Linked DNA regions of Pelodiscus sinensis. The protein of the gene in region 2 interacts with the protein of the main gene of each other region in a pairwise test. Links are inferred from orthologs where the notes say so. Each region holds a gene or a part of one and is shown on either strand. Other genes may lie near its edges.

What was found. The genes of interacting proteins can lie anywhere in the genome.
Region 1: the proteins of KLHL40 (region 2) and SPMIP4 interact in a two-hybrid assay, tested with the Homo sapiens proteins (2 studies listed by BioGRID and IntAct). The two-hybrid records come from large-scale screens. The link is inferred for Pelodiscus sinensis from reciprocal best matches to the Homo sapiens genes KLHL40 and SPMIP4.

What each region holds. Positions count from the first base shown.
Region 1 is NC_134712.1:197,997,428-198,007,906, reverse strand, and holds the start of SPMIP4 (sperm-associated microtubule inner protein 4), read right to left. Parts: upstream 4,782-10,479; 5' UTR 4,734-4,781; intron 1-4,733. UniProt on the Homo sapiens protein: Microtubule inner protein (MIP) part of the dynein-decorated doublet microtubules (DMTs) in flagellum axoneme. May serve to reinforce and thus stabilize the microtubule structure in the sperm flagella.
Region 2 is NC_134712.1:251,312,827-251,323,029, forward strand, and holds the start of KLHL40 (kelch-like protein 40), read right to left. Parts: upstream 4,325-10,203; 5' UTR 4,173-4,324; coding exon 3,027-4,172; intron 67-3,026; coding exon 1-66. UniProt on the Homo sapiens protein: Substrate-specific adapter of a BCR (BTB-CUL3-RBX1) E3 ubiquitin ligase complex that acts as a key regulator of skeletal muscle development.

The DNA of each region.
Region 1 (10,479 bases), about 53 Mb from region 2:
CAGTGCCTCAGGATACAATCTGAGCAAGTACCACGGATAGCTTCTGCTGAACCCTGATACCTTTCAGCTGTGGAAACAGTGACCACTTTCACTATTGCAAATGATCTCTTCTATCAGATTACAATGTAAAATAAACAAAAAGGCCATTTACAGACACAAATATAGCACTAAGTATGGCTTTTTTCATCTAACAAACAATAGCTGGAAATAAATTGCAGGGAAAGTAAAATCTTCCCTTGGAACATGGACTCTGAAAAGATTCAGTAGTTATTTATTGGAGCAAAATGCAGGACAATGTAGCACTTTAAAGACTAACAAGATGGTTTATTAGATGATGAGCTTTCGTGGGCCAGACCCACTTCCTCAGATCAAATAGTGGAATTTATAGTTATTTATTGGATTTATCCTTAAAATTCAAGGTCTTGCTTGCTCTATGGACATTAATGATCCCATGTCTCATTTCACAACATAAGGAGTTTGCACACTGTATAAAAGTAGGAAAAACTTGGCAAGGGAGCAAAGTGGAAGGTGTTTTGTACCCTTGAAGCCAGAAATGTTTGCATTTCGGTGATGCTGTACGTATTGTATAGATAAACTATGGAGCATGGAAAACACTTTGGGATGAAAAGTGATGCAACAGAATTAATGCAGGATTCTCTACTGCCTGTAGCTTTGTGCAGTCATCTACAGAGAGCAAAGTGCAACCATTCTGATTACATAGGAACAACTTAACCATGCAGGAGAAGATGGCAGGAACAGGAGTAAGCACTGTGTTTCACTTATCCACACAATGAAACTCCTCTGGCTCACAGCACAAGAATCCTCTCTGAAAAGCCACAAGTCCTTCCCTACTTCCTTCTGCATCATAAACCACATTAATGCCCTCTCCCTACCTAGACTCTACTGCTTCTGGCAGAACCCTCTTGCCTCTCAAAGAGGACATTGGGAAGAGAAAGGATAAGCTGTGAAGTGTATGAGAATCTGAGGGAGACTATGTCTGTAGGTGGGGATCAGGGGATATGGGGCAGTGAGAGATCTGAGGGGAAGTGGATATCTCTTGCTGTAAGTAATGGGGGAACTCTGAGGAGCAGAGGGATCCAGGCAGAGGAGAAGCAGCTCAAGACACAAGTGGAGAGAACATGGGGGTTGGGAAGCACTAGAGTTTCTTTACCTTCTCTACCCAACAAATCTCCCATTTGGAGCTTTGCATGTTACGTAACCCAAGTATATATTGCTTCCTCCTTCCCCTTCTCCAGCAGCCTGTGCTGCTCCTCAGCTCTTCCATTCTGTTATTTGTCCTCCATCAATGTTGTCCCTTCTTGGCCTACCACATGCCTAGGGCTCATAGGGCAAGCATAAGACCCCAGAGACACCCTTTATGGTTCCTGGAGATGTCAGAGGGCTCAGTGGAGGGTTGATACACTTACTGGCAACGCCATACTCCTGTACACCTTCTAAGCTCCACTGGAGACAGGTTGCTTGCCTAAGACAAGTGTACATTAGTGGGGCTTCCCAACTCAGATGGCAGGAATTCACAAGGAAGGGGGGGGGGGAGGGAAGAGATCCCCTAAACTTTGCTCCCCGCTCTGCTGTTACAACTCCCCAGTACATATACAAGAATTTAACAAATTCCTGATCAGGCAAACAGGATACTAAAGGCAACCATCCATCACACTTCATTAAGGGCCAGTACTTCTGAGCTGCTGAAAGCACTGAGTATCTGACAGGATTAGCCTCTGCCTCATGTGGTAGCTAATTACTTAAGTGTCACTAGACACAGAGCTAATTGTCTCTTACCAGACAATACTATCAGAGAACATACAGGAAAAAAGGAGCTTTTAGTGCTCAAATCACGCTTACTATCTGAGATGTGTGTGACATGAATTATTAAACCTGTGTTCTATGACTCCATTTTTGATACTCTCGTGGAATGAGGAGTAACGGTAGTTCGAACTAGGAAGCCTAGTTCGAACTACCTAGTTCGTGCCCCGTGTAGCCGCGCTGCACAGGGTTCGAACGAGCGGGGTTTTAAAAATGGCGGCGCCCCGCTTATGCAAATGAAGCCTGGGAAATTCAAATCCCTGGCTTCATTTGCAAGTGCGGTATGCCTACATTACCCTCCTGGTTCGAACTAGGAGGGTAGTGTAGACATACCCATATATAGCAACAGAACCAAAACAGTGCCACTGTGGTTAATCAAAAGTAAAAAAGCAGGGAGAATAAAAGGCTTTGTTTAAAAAGTGAAGTTAAAGCTTAGTGAGGAAAATCAAAAGGAACATAAACTCTGGCAACTGAAATGTAAAAATATAATTGGGAAAGCCAAAAAAGGATTTGAAGAACAGATAGCCAAAACCTCAAAATATAGTAGCAAATATTTTTAAATACATCAGAAGCAGGAAACCTGTTGAACAGCCAATAGGGCCACTGGATGATCAAGATGCTAAAGGAGAATTCAAGGATGGTTAGGCTATTGTGGAGAAACTACATGAATTCTTTGCATCAGTCTTCACGGGTAACGCTGTGAGGGAGATTCCAAATCTGAGCCATTCTTTTTAGGTGACAAAACTGTCCCAGATTGAGGTGTCATTAGGGAAGGTTTTGGAACACAATGATAAATTAAACAGTAATAAGTTACCAGGACCAGATGGCATTCACCCAAGAACTCTGAAGGAACTCAAATGTGAAATTGCAGAATTACTTACTGTGGTTTATAACCTATCTTTTAAATCAGTTTCTGTCCCAAATGACCAGAAGTTAGCTAGCACAACACCAATTTTTAAAAAGGGCTCCAGAGGTGATCCTGACAATCAGTGGCCAGTAAGTCTAACTTCAGTACTGGGCAAACTGGTTGAAACTATAGTAAAGAACAGAGTTGTCAAACACACAGATTAACATAATTTGTCGGTGAAGAGTCTACATGGTTTTTGTAAAGGGAAATCATGCCGCACCTATTTACTAGTATTCTTTGAGGGGGTCAAATAAGCATGACAGGATACTGGGCAAGATGGACTTTTCGTCTAACCTTGTGTGGCCATTCTTATGTTCAATATATTATTTTAGTGTCTTATGTACTAGGAAATAGATAGGAAGTGTGAGATCAAATTTATATTTTGATTGCCTTTATCAGATAGTAGCTGATATGGTAAGCTGAAAAGAAGTGCAAAAAAAAAAATCTCCTTTAGATATGTGGGTGTACCTGGTGGGCACATTGATTTGGCATGTGGACTTTGTGAGTATTTGACATTCATGTACAAGGGCCTACTTGACCACTACTGTGACCATATGCTGAAGCGTGAGATTCAGTCACTCACTATCACCTTGCAAAGGAACCAATGATCATAGTGTCTGGTTTGAAATTTGCAAACAGGTAAGAAACAGTGGTCAGATTTTTCTGCTAGTGATACTGCTGCAAGTCTATACTGATCATGTAAATGTTCTTGAGTCTGGATTAACACTGGTGGGTGGAGGAAATCTGGTCCCTGCTTACTAGAAATGGATCCTAGCTGAACCACCCAGTGTGTTCCCTGGTGAACCTCCAATACTCACAGGGCCTTCTCAAGGCCCTGTTGCCTCTAGGAAATCCCCCCAACACTCACCTGTTGTCCCTGGGGAACACTAAGGTGACCACCCATCCCTAACTGGAAAGGACAGAGCTGAAAGGTACATTTCAAGTTGTGGTCCTAGACTGCATGACTCCCTAGGGCATCATTTGTCCTGGATTCCCTTCAGAGCAACTCAGCACATGCCATCCTCTCAGGGGTGAAGTCAGCCTCTTCCTTCTTACCAGAAAGCCCCAAACCTGCTCCTCTTCTTCCCCACAAGACCCTACCCCTGACCCAGCCAGAAGCTGGTGCTGGGCTGTAGTGAGAGCTGCCCAGGGACTGGAGGCCACCATTAGAGGTGCCAGGCATCCAGTTTTTGACAGCAACTCCCAGTCTAAAAAAGACCCTGGAGACTCCAGTCTGCACTGCTGATCAGGCCATTAAAAGTCTGGGAAATGACACAGCAGGGGCCCAGGACTAAGGCTCTCTACCTACCTGCCGTGGCTCCGGGTGGTTCTCAAAAGTGGACACTAGGTCCCTGCAGCCCTTAGGCACAGGAAGGCTCCATGCACTGCACTTACCCCGAGTGCTGGCTTGCAGCTCCCATTGACTGGGAACCATGTCCAATGGGAACTGTGAGGCAGTGTCTGCAGGCATGAGGGCAGCATGTGGAACTTCCCTGACCACTCATGCAGCTAGGGGCTGAGGGACCTGGTGACCGCTTCCTGGGAGCCATGCTAAGCTATATTGGGACCTCTATGTTAAAAAAAAAATAGAAAAAAATAGAAAGTAGCCCAACATCAACAATCTGGCATTTATTAACCAACCTTTCTATAGTAAACCAGGAGCGTTCCCTGACAGAATAGTGAGAGAATGGATTTTTAAAACATACAGTTGGTTTCAGGCTTCAGGGATTGTTACAAACAGCTTAGAGGGATAGAAATTATACTGACCATTCTGAAGAATGCTAAAACTGTTGCTTCCTTTGAAAAAACATAAAGTTCTGTATAAATTTAAAGCATAGGAGGTGTTGCAAACATAGTGCTAACCCATTCTCCAGGGAGCTCTCAGTGCTGGGGGCCAGTTTGTAGTGATCAATCCTCCTTATCCCCCAGCTCAATGTCTGGCAGACTGCAGAATGAACACCTAGTGGGAAATCGAATAGGGACAAAACTATAAACTCAAGCCTACCTTCTGGCTCAGGGTGTATCCTGTGGGCATATTCAGACCTGCACTCAGGGTAGGCTCTGACATCATAATGACAGATGGCTGTAGCTTTTGAGTATATCCTATAGTACAGCTTGTGATGTAGGCAGCTTCTCACCCAGGACTAGCCCCTGTGGTTTGAAATGGCAGGTGTTGCAGCAGTAATCAGTGGAATCCTCAGGATCTGGAGAGAAGGATGTAAAGGAAGGGGTAGCTGATGACCTGCTCCACTTCTTCTGAGACAGTAAAGGTTACTATGTATGAACAACCTAGAAGCATCGAGTTAGCAGATGTGGTGCTGGGATTAGCAGTCAATGTAGCTCAAAACAACACCATGGTTGTTAAAAATGTCTACCATGTTTATACACGACTGAAGAATCAAGTAGCTAACGCAGGGAGATTCTTCACAAATGGGATCATGTACACAACTCTTTGTAAAGTAGGCAAGCCCCAAGACAGCATGATATCAGACAAGCATCATTCCTTATAGCCCAGCCCCGGAAACAGAAATGTCCTTTCCATCTGCATAGGACAGGAATCTTATACCATTCTCTGCAGGATTGTGTGGTTGCCTCTATCAGGGTATGTCTACACTACCACCCTAGTTCGAACTAGGGTGGTAATGTAGGCAACCGGAGTTGCAAATGAAGCCCGGGATTTGAATTTCCCGGGATTCATTTGCATAAAGCCGAGCGCCACCATTTTTAAATGTCTGCTAGTGTGGACTCCGTGCCGCGCGGCTACACGCGGCATGGACTAGGTAGTTCGGACTAGGCTTCAGACTATCGTGAAACGAGGAGTAACGGTAGTTCAGACTAGGAAACCTAGTCCGAACTACCTAGTCCGTGCCGCGTGTAGCCGCGTGGCACGGAGTCCGCAGTAGCGGACATTTAAAAATGGCGGTGCCCGGCTTTATGCAAATGAAGCCCGGAAAATTCAAATCCCGGGCTTCATTTGCAACTCCGGTTGCCTACATTACCACCCTAGTTCGAACTAGGGTGGTAGTGTAGACATACCCCCTGAGACAAGATACTGGGCTAGATGGACCCTTTGTCTGATCCAGTATGGCAATTTCCTATACTTGACAAAGCTCCTTTGGTCTCTTGATTGGCTTTGCTTTCTTTCTTCAATGTGTGTCTTCTTGGAGATGAGCTGGAGCTAAAATAATCTGGTAAGTTTAAGAAGAAAACTGGTTTTCACTTTTGTGTGCAGCGAACAGAGTAGGAATAGGAGGATCTACTTTTTTTGGTTAAAGAAGATGGAAGAAAATGGAAAGCAACCCTTTGGCAAAGAATATTGTATAAGCAGCTCCTCTTAAGGCATAGAAAATACTTTATTTTATCATTCAGAAGTCCCAGTAGCCAGTTTACTGAACTTTTTGGAACATTGTACAAGTTGAACCTCTCTGGTCCAGCAACTTCCGTGGTCCGGCAAGCTTTTAGTTCAACAGATGTTCACTTATCACAAGTATGGCCAAGATTTCCGTGGTCACATAAGATGACACCCACCAGTCTTGACTCTCAGTGTTCTGTGCTGTTATTTAGCTCTAATTTACCCCTAAATGTCTTCTAAGAGCCCAGTAAGCTGTGGAAGTGCTGGTAATGCTGCTAGACAATATTGACCTCCCGTGGTTCGGCAAATTCAAGGCCCGAGGATACCAGACTAGAGAGGTTCAACTTGTATTACTTTTTACCTATCTGGACTGGTGAAGTACATTTTAGTGTTTATTTGCTAGGGCCTGCACAGGTTTGGAAACACCAAGTCCTCTGGCTTGTATTTCCGTGCAGTGTCGATATGCCTTAAGGGCACAGAACATGAACTTACAAGCATATGATTAAATATTTTTAAACCCTGGGAAAGTAAGAAGCAAAAGTGGCGACGTGGCAACATTTTTGATGGCAAAAGTGGCGATGTGGCAAAGAATAGGAACATGTGAGGAGGATTTCTTCCAGGTTATTCAAGAGAACTCAAGAAATTGTGCCTTTCACATGATTTTGAAACAACATTGACCAAACTGACAGCCGTACTGCAGGCTTCAGCACTGAATGGCTGCAGGGAGATTCCACAGCAACTTTTCCAGCTCTCTGTTCCACATAGGTACATTCTGGCTCTTTTCTTTTCTGCCTTGCTCGTTTGGGAATGCTCCATTCTTGTGGCTTGCTGAAGGGGATGTTTTCATTCTTCATTTCAGGACTTTGCAACTTTTGTCCTCCCATAACCCAAAAGCTACTGCTAAATTTCTCCCCATATCAGGTGCAACTCAGTGGAAAGGGGAAAAGGTCAGAGCATAGAAAAAGCAGAACCATGGCTCCAAAACCAAGCAGAACTCTGGAGAGCAGAGAAGAAAAAGCCCTATAAGGAGGTGCTGGAGATTTCTCTGCCCACAGCACAAGGAGGCATTCTGCCTCTCTGAGCCATAATGCCTCCTAGTGCTGCTCCAGGTTAACACAGCTGCACATCTCCCCTTCCTAAGGGCTCTGAGCTATTAGCATCATCTAGCCTATACGGCTGAAGTGGATCAATCAATGGGAAAAAAGAATTTTAGCAGATCTGAATGGCAAGTAGAAAATCATCTGTCTCTGGGTAGCAATAAATTAGGCACCCTGGCAGATGTATCTTCTTAGGTCACAGCCATTTCAAACCCTCCATTAACTAATGTGGAAAGATCAAAGATAGCAAAGAAAGCTGGCAGAATTTAAATTGTCACCCATCCTGCTTAGAACTGAATGAGTTTAATGTGCCATAATGCATTTTAATAAATGGAAACAGAAAAAGGAATGATCATTTCTCATAAAAAAGAATTTTTCTGATACTTATAGGAAAATCATTTAAAGGAAGAAAAGTATCTTAAATTCAATCAAGAGAAAACTTACTATACAAAGTCAAATGTATCCCCACATACATGCAGGGGTTCCATTTAGAGTGCCTAGGGGGCTGCAGCCCCTGAAGTTTGAATCCCTATATTTGATACTTGTAGTCTGCTTAAAGTACCTGCTGTAGCCCCAGATAGAGTTCTTAACTTTGCCAGCTTTGCCTTTTGGGGCAGGGAGTTTGTTTATGAACAGAGGGCAACAGGATGATTAAGGTAACAAAAGGCTTATCATTCAAGTAACTGAAGGATCATTAGATGATCACGTGAACTAGTGCTGTTCAACTTATTTATAAATTATCTTGAAAAAAAGGGTAAACAGTGAGGTAGCAAGATTTGTAGTTAATACAAAAATATCAGTCCAAAGTGGATTGCAAAGAGTTCCAAAGGGATCTCGCAACTCTAGGTGATTAGTCAACATAAACGCAGTTGGAATTCAGTGTTAATAAATGCAAAGTAATGCACATAAGCTACATCTAGGCTGCGTCTAGACTGGCATGATTTTGCGGAAATACTTTTAACAGAAAAGTTTTTCCGTGAAAAGTATTTCTGCAAAAGAGCATCTAGATTGGCACTGATGCTTTTGCACAAAAAGTGCTTTTGCGCAAAAGCATCCATGCCCAGTGTAGATGCGCTTTTGTGCAAGAAAGCTTCAATGGCTATTTTAGCCATCGGGCTTTCTTGCACAAAAAATTAAGGTGCCTGTCTACACTGGCCCTCTTGTGCAAGTATTCTTGCGCAATAGGGCTTATCCCTGAGCGGGAGCGTCAAAGTATTTGCGCAAGAAGCACTGATTTTGTACATTACAAAGTCAGTGCTCTTGCGCAAATTCAAGTGGCCAGTGTAGACAGCTGGCAAGTTTTTGCGCAAAAGTGGCCGCTTTTGCGCAAAATCTTGCCAGTCTAGATGCACCCCTAGATTGTAGAGTTAAATCGGAAAGAGATTTCTGATTTACTTTAGAAAGAGGCTTTTCTGAAATTTGGCATATCTACGTGGTGCCAAATTTAGGAAAAAACTGCTCTTTCGACACATCTTTTATGCCTTGCAGAATGAGTTTTACAGGGATGGTGAAAGAGCGTGTCTGCTTTTTCGAAATTCTTTTCAGAAAAGCGGACACATTCCTTGGACACCACATTGCTCTTCTGGGATACCTCTGGTATCCCGGAAAAGCAATGCAGTCTAGATGTGGCCATAGATAAATATAATTCCAGCTATACATAGAAAATGATGGGGGTCTGAATTAGCTGTTACAACTCAAAAAAGAGATCTTGGAATCATTGTGGATAGTTCCCTATAAACATCTGCTCACTGTGAAGTGATAATCTAAAAAGCTAAGAGAGGATCTTATTCCTACTTTGAAGTACCTGGCATTGGCCACTGTTGGCAGATGGGATACTGGTTTAGATGGACTACTGGGTCTGACCCAGTATGGCTGATCTGATGTTCTTATATAGAGCCCAAATGTATCTGCCCCCTGTTGTAAACCTCTAGACCCTACTCCCCTCTCAGAGCTAAGATAGAATCCCGGAGTCCCTAACAGACTCTCTTTCACTCTCTCCCCCTCTCTCTCAACAGAGTTAGTAACATAATAAGAATATACATTAAAATTTTAAGTCTAATCAGTGTCCCTTAAGTGACTTACCATAAGATGTCAGAAATATTCATTTCAGAGGGGTAGCCGAGTTAGTACGTAACAGGAAAAACTTTAAAAAATAACGAATAGTCTAGTAGCACCTTAAAGACTAACATCTGTGGTCATCTGAAGAAGTGGGTTTTGCCCACGAAAGCTCATGATACCATCAACATGTTTTGTTAGTTTTTAAGGTGCTACTAGACTAGTCGTTATTTTTTAAGAAATATTAGTATTAGAGCTGAGTGGGTCTTAATATTTATTTAAAAGTGGCGAGGAGTCCTGTGGCACCTTAGGGTACGTCTAAACTACATGGCTCCGTCGACGGAGCCATGTAGATTTGTTGTTTTGGCAAAGGCAAACGAAGCCACGATTTAAATGATCGCGGCTTCATTTCAATGTACATGGCTGCCGCGCTGAGCCGACAAACAGCTGATCAGCTGTTTGTCCGCTCAGCGCGCTAGTCTGGACGCTCCCCTGCCGACATCAAAGCCCTTTGTCGGCAGCCCCGGTAAACCTCATCCCACGAGGAATAACGGGGCTGCCGACAAAGGGCTTTGATGTCGGCAGGGGAGCGTCCAGACTAGCGCGCTGAGCGGACAAACAGCTGATCAGCTGTTTGTCGGCTCAGCGCGGCAGCCATGTAAATTTAAATGAAGCTGCGATCATTTAAATTGTGGCTTCATTTGCCTTTGCCTATGTGTCTAATCTACATGCCTCTGACGACAGAGGCATGTAGTCTAGACACAGCCTTATAGACTAACCGAAGTGTTGGAGCATAAGCTTTTGTGGGCAAAGACCCTTTTCGTCAGATGCATCTGACGAAGGTGCCACAGGACTCCTTGCTGCTTTCGCAGATTCAGACTAACATGGCTACCCCTCTGATACTCAATATTTATTTAATTTTCTTTTTTATATGGGAGTTAGATGCAGTGCTCCTATCAGCTAATTGCTAAGTTATCTGCCAAAAAACCTAGAGTTTTCAAGTGCCTTAGTAGCTCTTAGAAAGAGATGATGATGATGATGATGATGATGTGTGTGTATGTGTGGGAGGGTGGATGGGGAGGAATCCCACTCCCTGATTTGCTGCTTGGCTTGTGCTGAGCATGCTCAGTAACACTGCTGTAGCGGCTGTACTCACTTTGCCCCCTTCCCATGTCCTCATTGTGTCCTCCTCTGCAGTATCTCAGTCTGCACAGGTTGCTCCCTACCCCCAAAATCTGAACAGGTGC
Region 2 (10,203 bases):
GCCGAAGAGGCAGCGGGGGGAAGGGAGAGGGGGCATGCCCAGCCAGTCAGAGTCCAGATGATCGTACTGCAAGGAAACAAAGAGCCGTGAAGGTATAGCGTGCGCTGTGCTAGCCCCTCTCTGGCACGTGAAGAGTGAATTTGCTTATGCAGTCAATTTACTTAATTAAAATAAAATACCAGGGCCGGGTGCGCAGTGGCAAAGTGCTGAGTCTGTTCCTATCCGTACCAAAATCTTTACCTAGCTTTGCAGCCCCCGGTCAGAGATTCACTGTGGGTCCTTTCCTGATTTGATTCCTTCCGCTCCAGTGGTATCCACCTGCTGGCTCTTGTTGGATACTTAACTTGGACAGGGATTGTCTTTTTGTGCTGGGTATGTACCGCACCTAGCATAGTGGGGTCCTATTCCTTGATGGGGGGTTCCTCCGTGGATGGCAATACAATGGACAAATGATAACAGGACCCAAGTGACTGTAGGAACAGCTGCTGTATTTTTCATGGGCAGCCTAAGCTCCGGTGTGCTTCACAAGCAGCCTTGGCAACTACAAGTTGAGGGCTACAAATGGTGGCATGTGGAGAGAACTTCCTAATTCCTGCCAGGGCATCCTGACTTAGCACGGACAGAGCTGGGGGCACTTAGACTGCAAGTGGAGAGGAGGCTGCTGAACTGTAATTCTGTTCTGTGTTCCTTACAGAATAAAGCCTGCTGCTGGTGGTTTGTCTGAGGGTACGTCTACACAGCAACATTATTTTGAAATAACTAACATCATAACTAGCATTATTTTGAAATAACTTTAGTCCGCGTCTACCCGGCAGAAAGTTATTTTGAAATAATGTTGAAATGCTGTCAAGCTGGAGGACTTCTCACGCCAACTCCTGTAACCCTCATTGTACGAGGAGTAAGGGAAGTCAGAGGAAGCGTGTACAAGAACCCTTATTCCTCAAAAATAAGGGATTTCAAAAAGGAATAAGGGTTCTTGCGCAAAAGGGTTTTTTTTCCAGAAAATGGCCCCGTCGAAGGGCTTTTTTGTGCAAAAACCTCTTTCGCAAAAAGGATCGGAAGAGACTATGCAAATGAGAGCTCGAGATTTGTACGTGAGCACTCCATTTGCATTTCCTCGTCTGAAAAACTGCAGCAGTGTTGACATAGCCCTAGTGTGGGTCACTGTCCCACGTAGCGGCAGGATGATCACTTAGAGCAAGAGATAAAAACAAGTGAGTGCTACAGCCTAACCTCTACAGCCAGCTGTAGAGATGCCTAGACTAAGCTCTAAAGGTCCCAGGTTCAAATTCTCCTGGTGGTGGGTACACTTGTTCCTGAGCCCAGCGGGTACCCAATTGGCTCACAATATGAACATTTCCTGCTTATCCTGTGCAGGTGTCTAAGCCAAAGTGAGTGGAAAATTATGCCCATCGGGGGAGGGGCTGGCTGTTGTTTCACCCTCTCTGCTTTGTGCAGCTGAATTAGACACAATGACTTCTCTCATGATGAGCTTGGTTCCCTTTCCTTAGGGGTGGGGCAACCTTTTTTGGGTTGGGGGGGCTGCTGACCCACAGAAAAATCAGTCGGGGGGGCGGTGCACAAAAGTGAAAAGCAAAACAAAAAACACAGCCCCCATATCCCCCCCACGCACCCCACGTTAGGTTAGGCCTGGGTCAACTCCCCCCTGCTGCAGGCCCTGCCCCACCTCTGCTCCACCCTGCCCCCTCCCCCAAACCGCCTGGCCCAAGGGATCACCTAGTGCAGCGACAGCGCCCCTCCCCCACAGTCAGCATGGAGGCGGGAGCCAGAGTGGCCTGGCAGCCTGTTCCCCACCGCTGTGCCGCCCACACTTCACGGCACGTGCCGCGGGCCGGCAGAGGGCAGCGGGGCGGAGCAGAGCAGGCTGCGGGGCTGCTCCAGCTCTCGTTGCTGTGGTTAATGTGGAGGGAGGAAGCCCCTGCTGCTCCCACACCAGACCCCCCCCCCCGTGGGTCCCGTCCATAGGACGATTGGGGTAGGCCATCGCAAGGCCCCCGAAAGCATGGAGCTAGTTCAGCTCGCTAGCTCCTTCCTCCCCAGCGGATTATACGTCTTTGGTTACTTCTGGGGTTCAACGTCCACCCAGGGCACAATTCCCTAGGGACAATTCTCTTGTGACCGCAGTGAATGGCACCGCCAGCAGGGCGTTCAGTGGCAGAAGACAGATGGATGTGACAGAGAACAGAAGGCTGAAAAATCAAACAGTTCTTAGCCCAGAGCCAGCACGCAAGATAACGCCGGCGGAGAGGGACAAACCAACGTTGAATTAAAAACCTCCCTGATTGATTTCAAAGCCAGCAGAGACTAGTGTGATAATCTAGTCTGACCTCCTCATGGCACAGGCCAAAGCGACACACAGTGATCACTGCATGAGCCCCATTTGGAAATTCCAAACTTGTTACGGCACAGTTATTAGTACCCCTAGCTAACTAACCTCATACACTCTATCTATATCACAGCACAACCACCCCTGACAGATTTTGCCCCAGATCCCTAAATGGCCCCCTCAAGGGGTTGAACTCACAGCCCTAGGTTTGGCAGGCCAATGCTCAAACCACCAAGCTATGCCTCCCCTGACACAGTTGTCAGTACCTCTAGTTAGCTAGCTAGTTATCCTCATACACTCTATCTATCTGTCTGTCTATCTTCATATACTACATGTATCTAGCTATCTAGCTAACTAGCTATCCTCATACACTGCATCTATCTATCACAGAATTTTCTATACATACTGATCACTCGGTATCTAAATATTTTCATGGCCTGCATATTACTATGTAACAACTCATTGATGTAATACATACCAGTGAGCAAAATCCAACCAGTCTCTACAATCTCTGACAGAGCAAAAAAATGCGTGTGGCATACATTTTTATAAGGGATACGCAAGCCAAACACAATAACACACATGGCGGTGAGTTTCATTGGCTTTGTGCTATACAAAAGCTAAAAATTAGTGACCATTCTAGTGGGCCATAGTAACAAAAGAGTGACAAAGTCGGTACCTGTAAGAAGTAGGAGCTCATGGGGTCCTCTTTGTTGTCCTCGTTGTAATACAGTCCACCTGCTATGAAGATCTGGTTCTCTTTGGTTACCAGGCTGACGTGATTCTTTGGGATCTGAGACGAGATGGAGGCAAAGTAGCATTCGTTAGCGCTGGGGTCATAGGCCACTGCCCCGGTACTGCTAACCATGAAGATGAGGTCCTGGAGGAACATCCCAAAGCGCATTGTGTCATTCAAGATCCCTGGGAGCATGTCCTCCTCGATATCGTCCCCCTCTTCCACATCTCCATTGACGATGCTGTCCCCATCTTTCTTCTCATCGCTTTTCTTCGCCACCTTCTTTTTCACCACTGTGAGTTTTCCTTCGTTGGCATCCTTCACCATCTGGATTTTCTTGAGCAGCTCCGGGCTGGATTTCACAATGGGATGCTTCTCCACATGGTCCTTGAGGTATTCCTTGGGCATGAGGCGGAAGCGGATGCTCTCAAAGACCACCGGCAAGGCCTGAAGCCGACTCTCGCGGTCCTTGGCAGCCGCCCATTTCATCACCACCTCGAAGACGGCCTCCTCCTTCTCAATGTTGAGAGAGTCGCTGGAGATCACAGCGATGAGCTCATCGGGGGAGAACTGGTAGAACTCCTCGTCCCGGGAGATCAGGACAAAACGGTCGCAGATGAAGTCCCGGGCAGCCACTGCCAGGCGGGCGCAGTCCAGCATCAAGCCCAACCTGAAGACGGCCAGGCAGTTGCTGAGACAGAGGCGCTTCTGCAGGAAGGAGACGCAGACTGTGAAGATGGAGGGGATCTGGAACATGTTGGCCACAGAGAAAATGTCCTGCACGTTCTGCTCCGTGATCTCCAGCTCGGAGGTGTAGATGTAATGGAGGATCTTGTGCATGACTTCGGGGTCCACATCCTCCAGGTTGATCTCCCTCTTCTTGCTCTCCTCCATGTCCGAAAGGAACATGGCCCGGAAATAGGGGCTGCAGGCGGCCAGCACCAACCGGTGGCAGGGGAATTCCTTCCCCTTGACTTTCAAGACACAATCCAGGAACTTGTTGTGGTCCAGCATATCTTTGAGCCCGTCCTGGAGAAGCGTCTGCTGGTAGAGACGCAGCTCCTCTGCTTGATCTATCGGCAGCGTCATGCTCGAAAGTAGCGGCTAGTTTGCGCTTCTTTGTTTTTCTTATCCCTCGGCAGAGAGACTTACCCGAACCTGGGCGTGCGGCTCTCCCCTGCTTCCCGGGAGCTGGGCGTGCTAAGAATGTGAAGCACTTGCTGCTAATACGAGGAGCTGTATGTCCCAGCCTCAGCGAGGGGCTTTATATATAACCACAGCCTGACAGAGCATGTGTAAGCCGATCACCCTCTAACATGACACATTGGACAACCAGGCTGAGGGAACAGCTGTACGATAGCCTGGAATGGTGACAGCCCATGAATCAGTGCTACAGGATCTGGGCTTTTCCGGAAGGCCAGCGTGTGACCAGCTGCCTTCGTCATAGGTGAAATGACTTTTCCTTCAGATGGATCAGAAAGGGGAAAAAAACCTACCCCCTCGCTGGTGAATGGGTTATCCTCCCCCTTCCTCTCTTCAACAGCCAGTGCTGGACTCACCCAGCTAAAAATACGCAATGAAGCTAAATCTTTAAATACGCAACGAGGTATCGAATTGTACTGTCATTGTGATGCAGCCAAAGCTATGCCGGTCATTTGGAGGGATAATTTTTCTGGGGGTGCTGGAGGAGAACGGGAGATAATCCCATGATCGGCTCCTGAGTAAGTGTTTTACATGCTCGGCTGTGCATCATGGGCTCTCTACTGGAAGCAGCTAAAGGAGATTCTCCTAGCGCACATGTGGTAGAGGCCTGTGATTTTGGAGCATGAGGATCTGGGGGTCTGTTCTGTCTGTGATATTTATATAGAACCCCATCCCTGTCGTGTCTGAGCCCCTCACAGTTTTAATGTATTTATCCTCCCTCCCCCTCTGGGAGGCAGGAGGGGGCTACTATCCCCATTGTACGGATGTGGAACTGAGGCACAGAGAAGTTAACTGATTTGTCCAAAGCCACATAGGGAGCCTGGTGAAGCAGGGACATGAGGCTGACATCCTGTCCACTGGTCCATCTTCCTTCTCTATTGCCCACTATTTCCCACTGTCTAGAGCTGGCTGAAAAAAAATCACCAATTTTCAATGGAGACGTTTATAGAAACTTCTGAGAAAGAGGATCCAGGTTTGGGGCCAGCTCTGTTGCTGCCTGTGTGACATTCCCAATGGCCAGGGGATGTAGCATCACGACACCTGTTATTATTACAATACTAAAGTACAATTGTGACAACTCAAAAAAGCTCCCAGGCACATTTCACAAGTGACGAGCCAGGCAGGGAACCTTTATGTTCACCCTGTTTCGTTAGTGTTTATATTTAGACATCAACGTTTCAGTAACAAAGGACAATCCCTCCCCCTACTCTTTTCCCTCCCCCTCCCAGTAAATATTAATAGTGCATCTACATTATAAGGAAACCCAGGCGTTGATCCAGATTTGAACCCTACCCGCTTTCCCAGCCACGCAGAAGATCCTTTGACCTAGGTTTGCAGGTGGTTTACACCTGAGCTAGCTTAGCCAGCAGGGTGTCGAGTTAGAACCTGGCTCTGCTTTACCTCTGTAGCCTGGGACCTGCCTACTTTGCGGGGAGGATGCAGGATAAGTCTCTGGAGCCCTGATGGTTCTCCAGTGTCTTCCCACAATCCCCCCAAAAGACAGGCAAGTTTGCTGGCAATTATCACAAGACTCTGAGAACAAGGAGCCTGGGGACATGACTCTAGAACACACTGGAGCCTGCAGAAACAGTGAAGGTGCAGTCATCTGGGCTGGGCGTGGCATTGGCGTTGCTCACCCCTGGGCTAAGCGCACCTCTGTGCTCAGCCTAGTGCGAGTTCTGATGGGTTTGATCACAGAGATCCCCTGGAGATGGTCACCTGATGGGCTGATCATACCACCTACCTGTCCTCGGGGGCGCCCTGCCACCCCGTCCTTCTGAGCCAGACCCTCTGGTCACCTCCAGCAAAGGCACAGAGGTGGGGTCACCGCCCACAGCAGAGCAACGCAGACACGAAGAGCAGCTCAACTCTGGGTGGGCTTAGTCACGGAGACTTGACACAGCACCCAGGTGCACTTCCCCAATGGGATCAGAACCCCAGCTAAATCCATCTGACTCTGCACAGCAGTTTTATACAGAAGGGCTGTGTCTGGCTAACCTTGTGAGGAGGGCTTTAAACTAGGTTTGTCGGGGGCAGGTGAGCAAAGCCCACAGGTAAGTGCTGAATGTGCGGGACTGGGAGATGGGTTGGAAATGGGGGGGACTACGGCCTATAATGGCAAGGAGAAAGGAGGGTCAGGGCACAACAGGGAGGCAAGATCAAATCAGTATCTTAGATGCCTATATACAAATGCGAGAAGTATGGGTAATAAGCAGGAAGAACTGGAATTGCTAACCAATAAATACAACTATGATATCATTGGTATTACAGAAACCTGGTGGGATGGGACGCATGATTGGAATGTTGGTATGGAAGGGTATGGCTTGCTCAGGAAGGACAGACAGGGAAAAAAGGGAGGAGGGGTTGCCTTGTATATTAAAAATGTACACACTTGGACTGAAGTGGAGATGAATGTAGGAGATAGCTGTGTAGAGAGTCTCTGGGTTAAGCTAAAAGGGGTAAAAAACGAGGGTGATATCATGCTAGGAGTCTACTACAGGCCACCTAGCCAGGTGGAAGAGGTGGATGAGGCCTTTTTTAAACAATTAACAAAACTATCCAAAGCCCAAGATTTGGTGGTGATGGGGGACTTCAACTATCCAGACATATGTTGGGAAACTAACACAGCGAGGCACAGGCTATCCAATAAGTTTCTGGACTGCATTGGAGACAACTTTCTGTTTCAGAAGGTTGAAAAAGCTACCAGAGGAGAAGCTGTTCTGGATTTGGTTTTAACAAATAGGGAGGAACTAGTTGAGAACTTGAAAGTGGAAGACAGTATAGGGGACAGTGATCACGAAATAATAGAGTTCATGATCTTAAGGAAAGGTAGAAGGGAGACCAGCACAATTGAGGTAATGGATTTCAGGAAGGCAGATTTTGATAAGCTCAGAGAACTTGTAGGTAAGGTCCCATGGGAAGCAAGACTGAAGGGAAAAACAACTGAGGAGAGTTGGAAGTATTTCAAAGGGACGTTGTTAAGGGCCCAAAAGCAAACAATTCCGCTGTGTAGGAAAGATAGAAAATATGGCAAAAGACCAGCTTGGCTTAACAAGGAGATCTTGCACAATCTCAAAATAAAAAAGGAGTCTCATAAAAAATGGAAACTAGGACAAATAACAAAGGATGAATATAGGCAAGCAACACGGGAATGCAGGGGCAAGATTAGAAAGGCAAAGGCACAAAATGAGATCAAATTAGCTACAGGCATAAAGGGAAACAAGAAGACCTTTTATAAATACATTAAAAGCAAGAGGAAGACCAAGGACAGGGTAGGCCCACTGCTTAGTGAGGAGGGAGAAGCAGTAACAGGAAACTTGGAAATGGCGGAGATGCTCAATGACTTCTTTGTTTCGGTCTTCACCGAGAAGTCTGGAGGTGTGCCTAACGTAGTGAATACAAGCAGAGAGAGGGTAAGTTTAGAAGATAGGATACACAAAGAACAAGTTAAAAATCACTTAGGAAAGTTAGATGTCAGCAAGTCACCAGGTCCTGATGAAATGCATCCCAGGATACTCAAGGAGCTGATAGAGGAGGTATCTGAGCCTTTAGCTATGATCTTTGAAAAATCATGGCAGACAGGGGAGATTCCAGAAGACTGGAAAAGGGCAAATATTGTGCCCATCTATAAAAAGGGGAATAAGAACAACCCAGGAAACTATAGACCGGTCAGTTTAACGTCTGTCCCAGGGAAGATAATGGAGCAGGTAATTAAGGAAATCATATGCAAACACTTGGAAGGTAATAAAGTGATAGGGAATAGCCAGCATGGGTTTGTGAAGAACAAGTCATGCCAAACTAATCTGATAGCTTTCTTTGATAAGATAACAAGCCTTGTGGATAAGGGAGAAGCGGTGGATGTCATATACCTAGACTTTAGTAAGGCATTTGATACGGTCTCGCATGATATTCTTATTGATAAACTAGGCAAATATAACTTAGATAGGGCCACGATAAGGTGGGTGCATAATTGGCTGGATAACCGTAGTCAGAGAGTGGTTGTTAACGGTTCTAAATCCTGCTGGAAAGGGATAACAAGTGGAGTTCCTCAAGGGTCTGTTTTGGGACCCATACTGTTCAATATCTTCATCAATGATGTAGATATTGGGATAGAGAGTACGCTTATTAAGTTTGCAGATGATACCAAACTGGGTGGGGTTGCGACTTCTTTGGAGGATAGGGACATAATTCAGAATGACCTTAGCAAGTTAGAGAAATGGTCGGAGGTAAACAGGATGAGGTTTAATAAAGAGAAATGCAAAGTGCTCCACTTAGGAAGGAACAATCCGTTCCATACATACAAGATGGGAAGCGACTGTCTAGGAAGGAGCATGGCGGAAAGGGATCTAGGGGTCATAGTGGACCACAAGTTGAATATGAGTCAACAGTGTGATGCTGTTGCAAAAAAAGCAAATATGATTCTAGGTTGTATCAACAGGTGTGTTGTAAGCAAAACTCGTGAAGTCATTCTGCCGCTCTACTCTGCACTAGTTAGGCCTCAGCTGGAGTACTGTGTCCAGTTCTGGGCGCCACATTTCAAGAAAGATGTGGAGAAATTGGAAAGGGTACAGAGAAGAGCGACAAGAATGATTAAAGGTTTAGAGAACATGACCTATGAAGCCAGGCTTCATGAACTGGGCTTGTTTAGTTTGGAAAAAAGAAGATTAAGGGGGGACATGATAGCGGCTTTCAAATATCTAAAAGGGTGTCACAAGGAGGAAGGAGAAAATTTGTTCCTCTTGGTTTCTGAGGACAGGACAAGGAGTAATGGGCTTAAAGTGCAGCAGGGGAGGTTTAGATTGGACATTAGGAAAAAATTCCTAACTGTCAGGGTGGTCAAATATTGGAATAAATTGCCAAGGGAGGTGGTGGAATCTCCCTCTCTGGAGATATTTAAGAACAGGTTAGATAGACATCTGTCAGGGATGGTGTAGACGGAGCTTGATCCTGCCTTGAGGGCGGGGGGCTGGACTCGATGACCTCTCGAGGTCCCTTCCAGTCCTATGATTCTATGATTCTATGATTCTATGATTCTACACTGCACCCTTTTTCCGGAAAAGGGATGCAGATGAGACAAGTCGGAATAGCAAATGCAGCGGGGATTTAAATTTTCCCCGCTCCATTTGCATGAACATGGCTGCCGCTTTTTTCCGACTCGGGGCTTTGCCGGAAAAAAGTGCCAGTCTAGACAGGGATCTTTCGGAAAATAAAGCCTTTTCTGAAAGGTCCCTTATTCCTCTTAAAATCAGGAATAAGGAATCTGAAGGGTAACAACACTTTTATCCCCCCTGCCTCAATAACAGAGAGACTGGGGATCCCACAGTGGCCAAAGTGACCATTTGGGCTGCTGTGAGCACATACTAGACAGGGTGGGTGTGTCTATGCAAATTGGGCTCAGCCCCTGAAGTCTCTTTGTACCACTTGCCACAGTTCACAACCAGATGTCAGGGTAGAGTTTACCTTGACCCCGCTTACACTTGCACTGAGTTTCATAATAAATGAAAGTGATTGTATTAAATAGAATCATAGAATCATAGAATCATAGGACTGGAAGGGACCTCGAGAGGTCATCGAGTCCAGCCCCCCGCCCTCAAGGCAGGATCAAGCTCCGTCTACACCATCCCTGACAGATGTCTATCTAACCTGTTCTTAAATATCTCCAGAGAGGGAGATTCCACCACCTCCCTTGGCAATTTATTCCAATATTTGACCACCCTGACAGTTAGGAATTTTTTCCTAATGTCCAATCTAAACCTCCCCTGCTGCACTTTAAGCCTATTACTCCTTGTCCTGTCCTCAGAAACCAAGAGGAACAAATTTTCGCCTTCCTCCTTGTGACACCCTTTTAGATATTTGAAAACCGCTATCATGTCCCCCCTTAATCTTCTTTTTTCCAAACTAAACAAGCCCAGTTCAT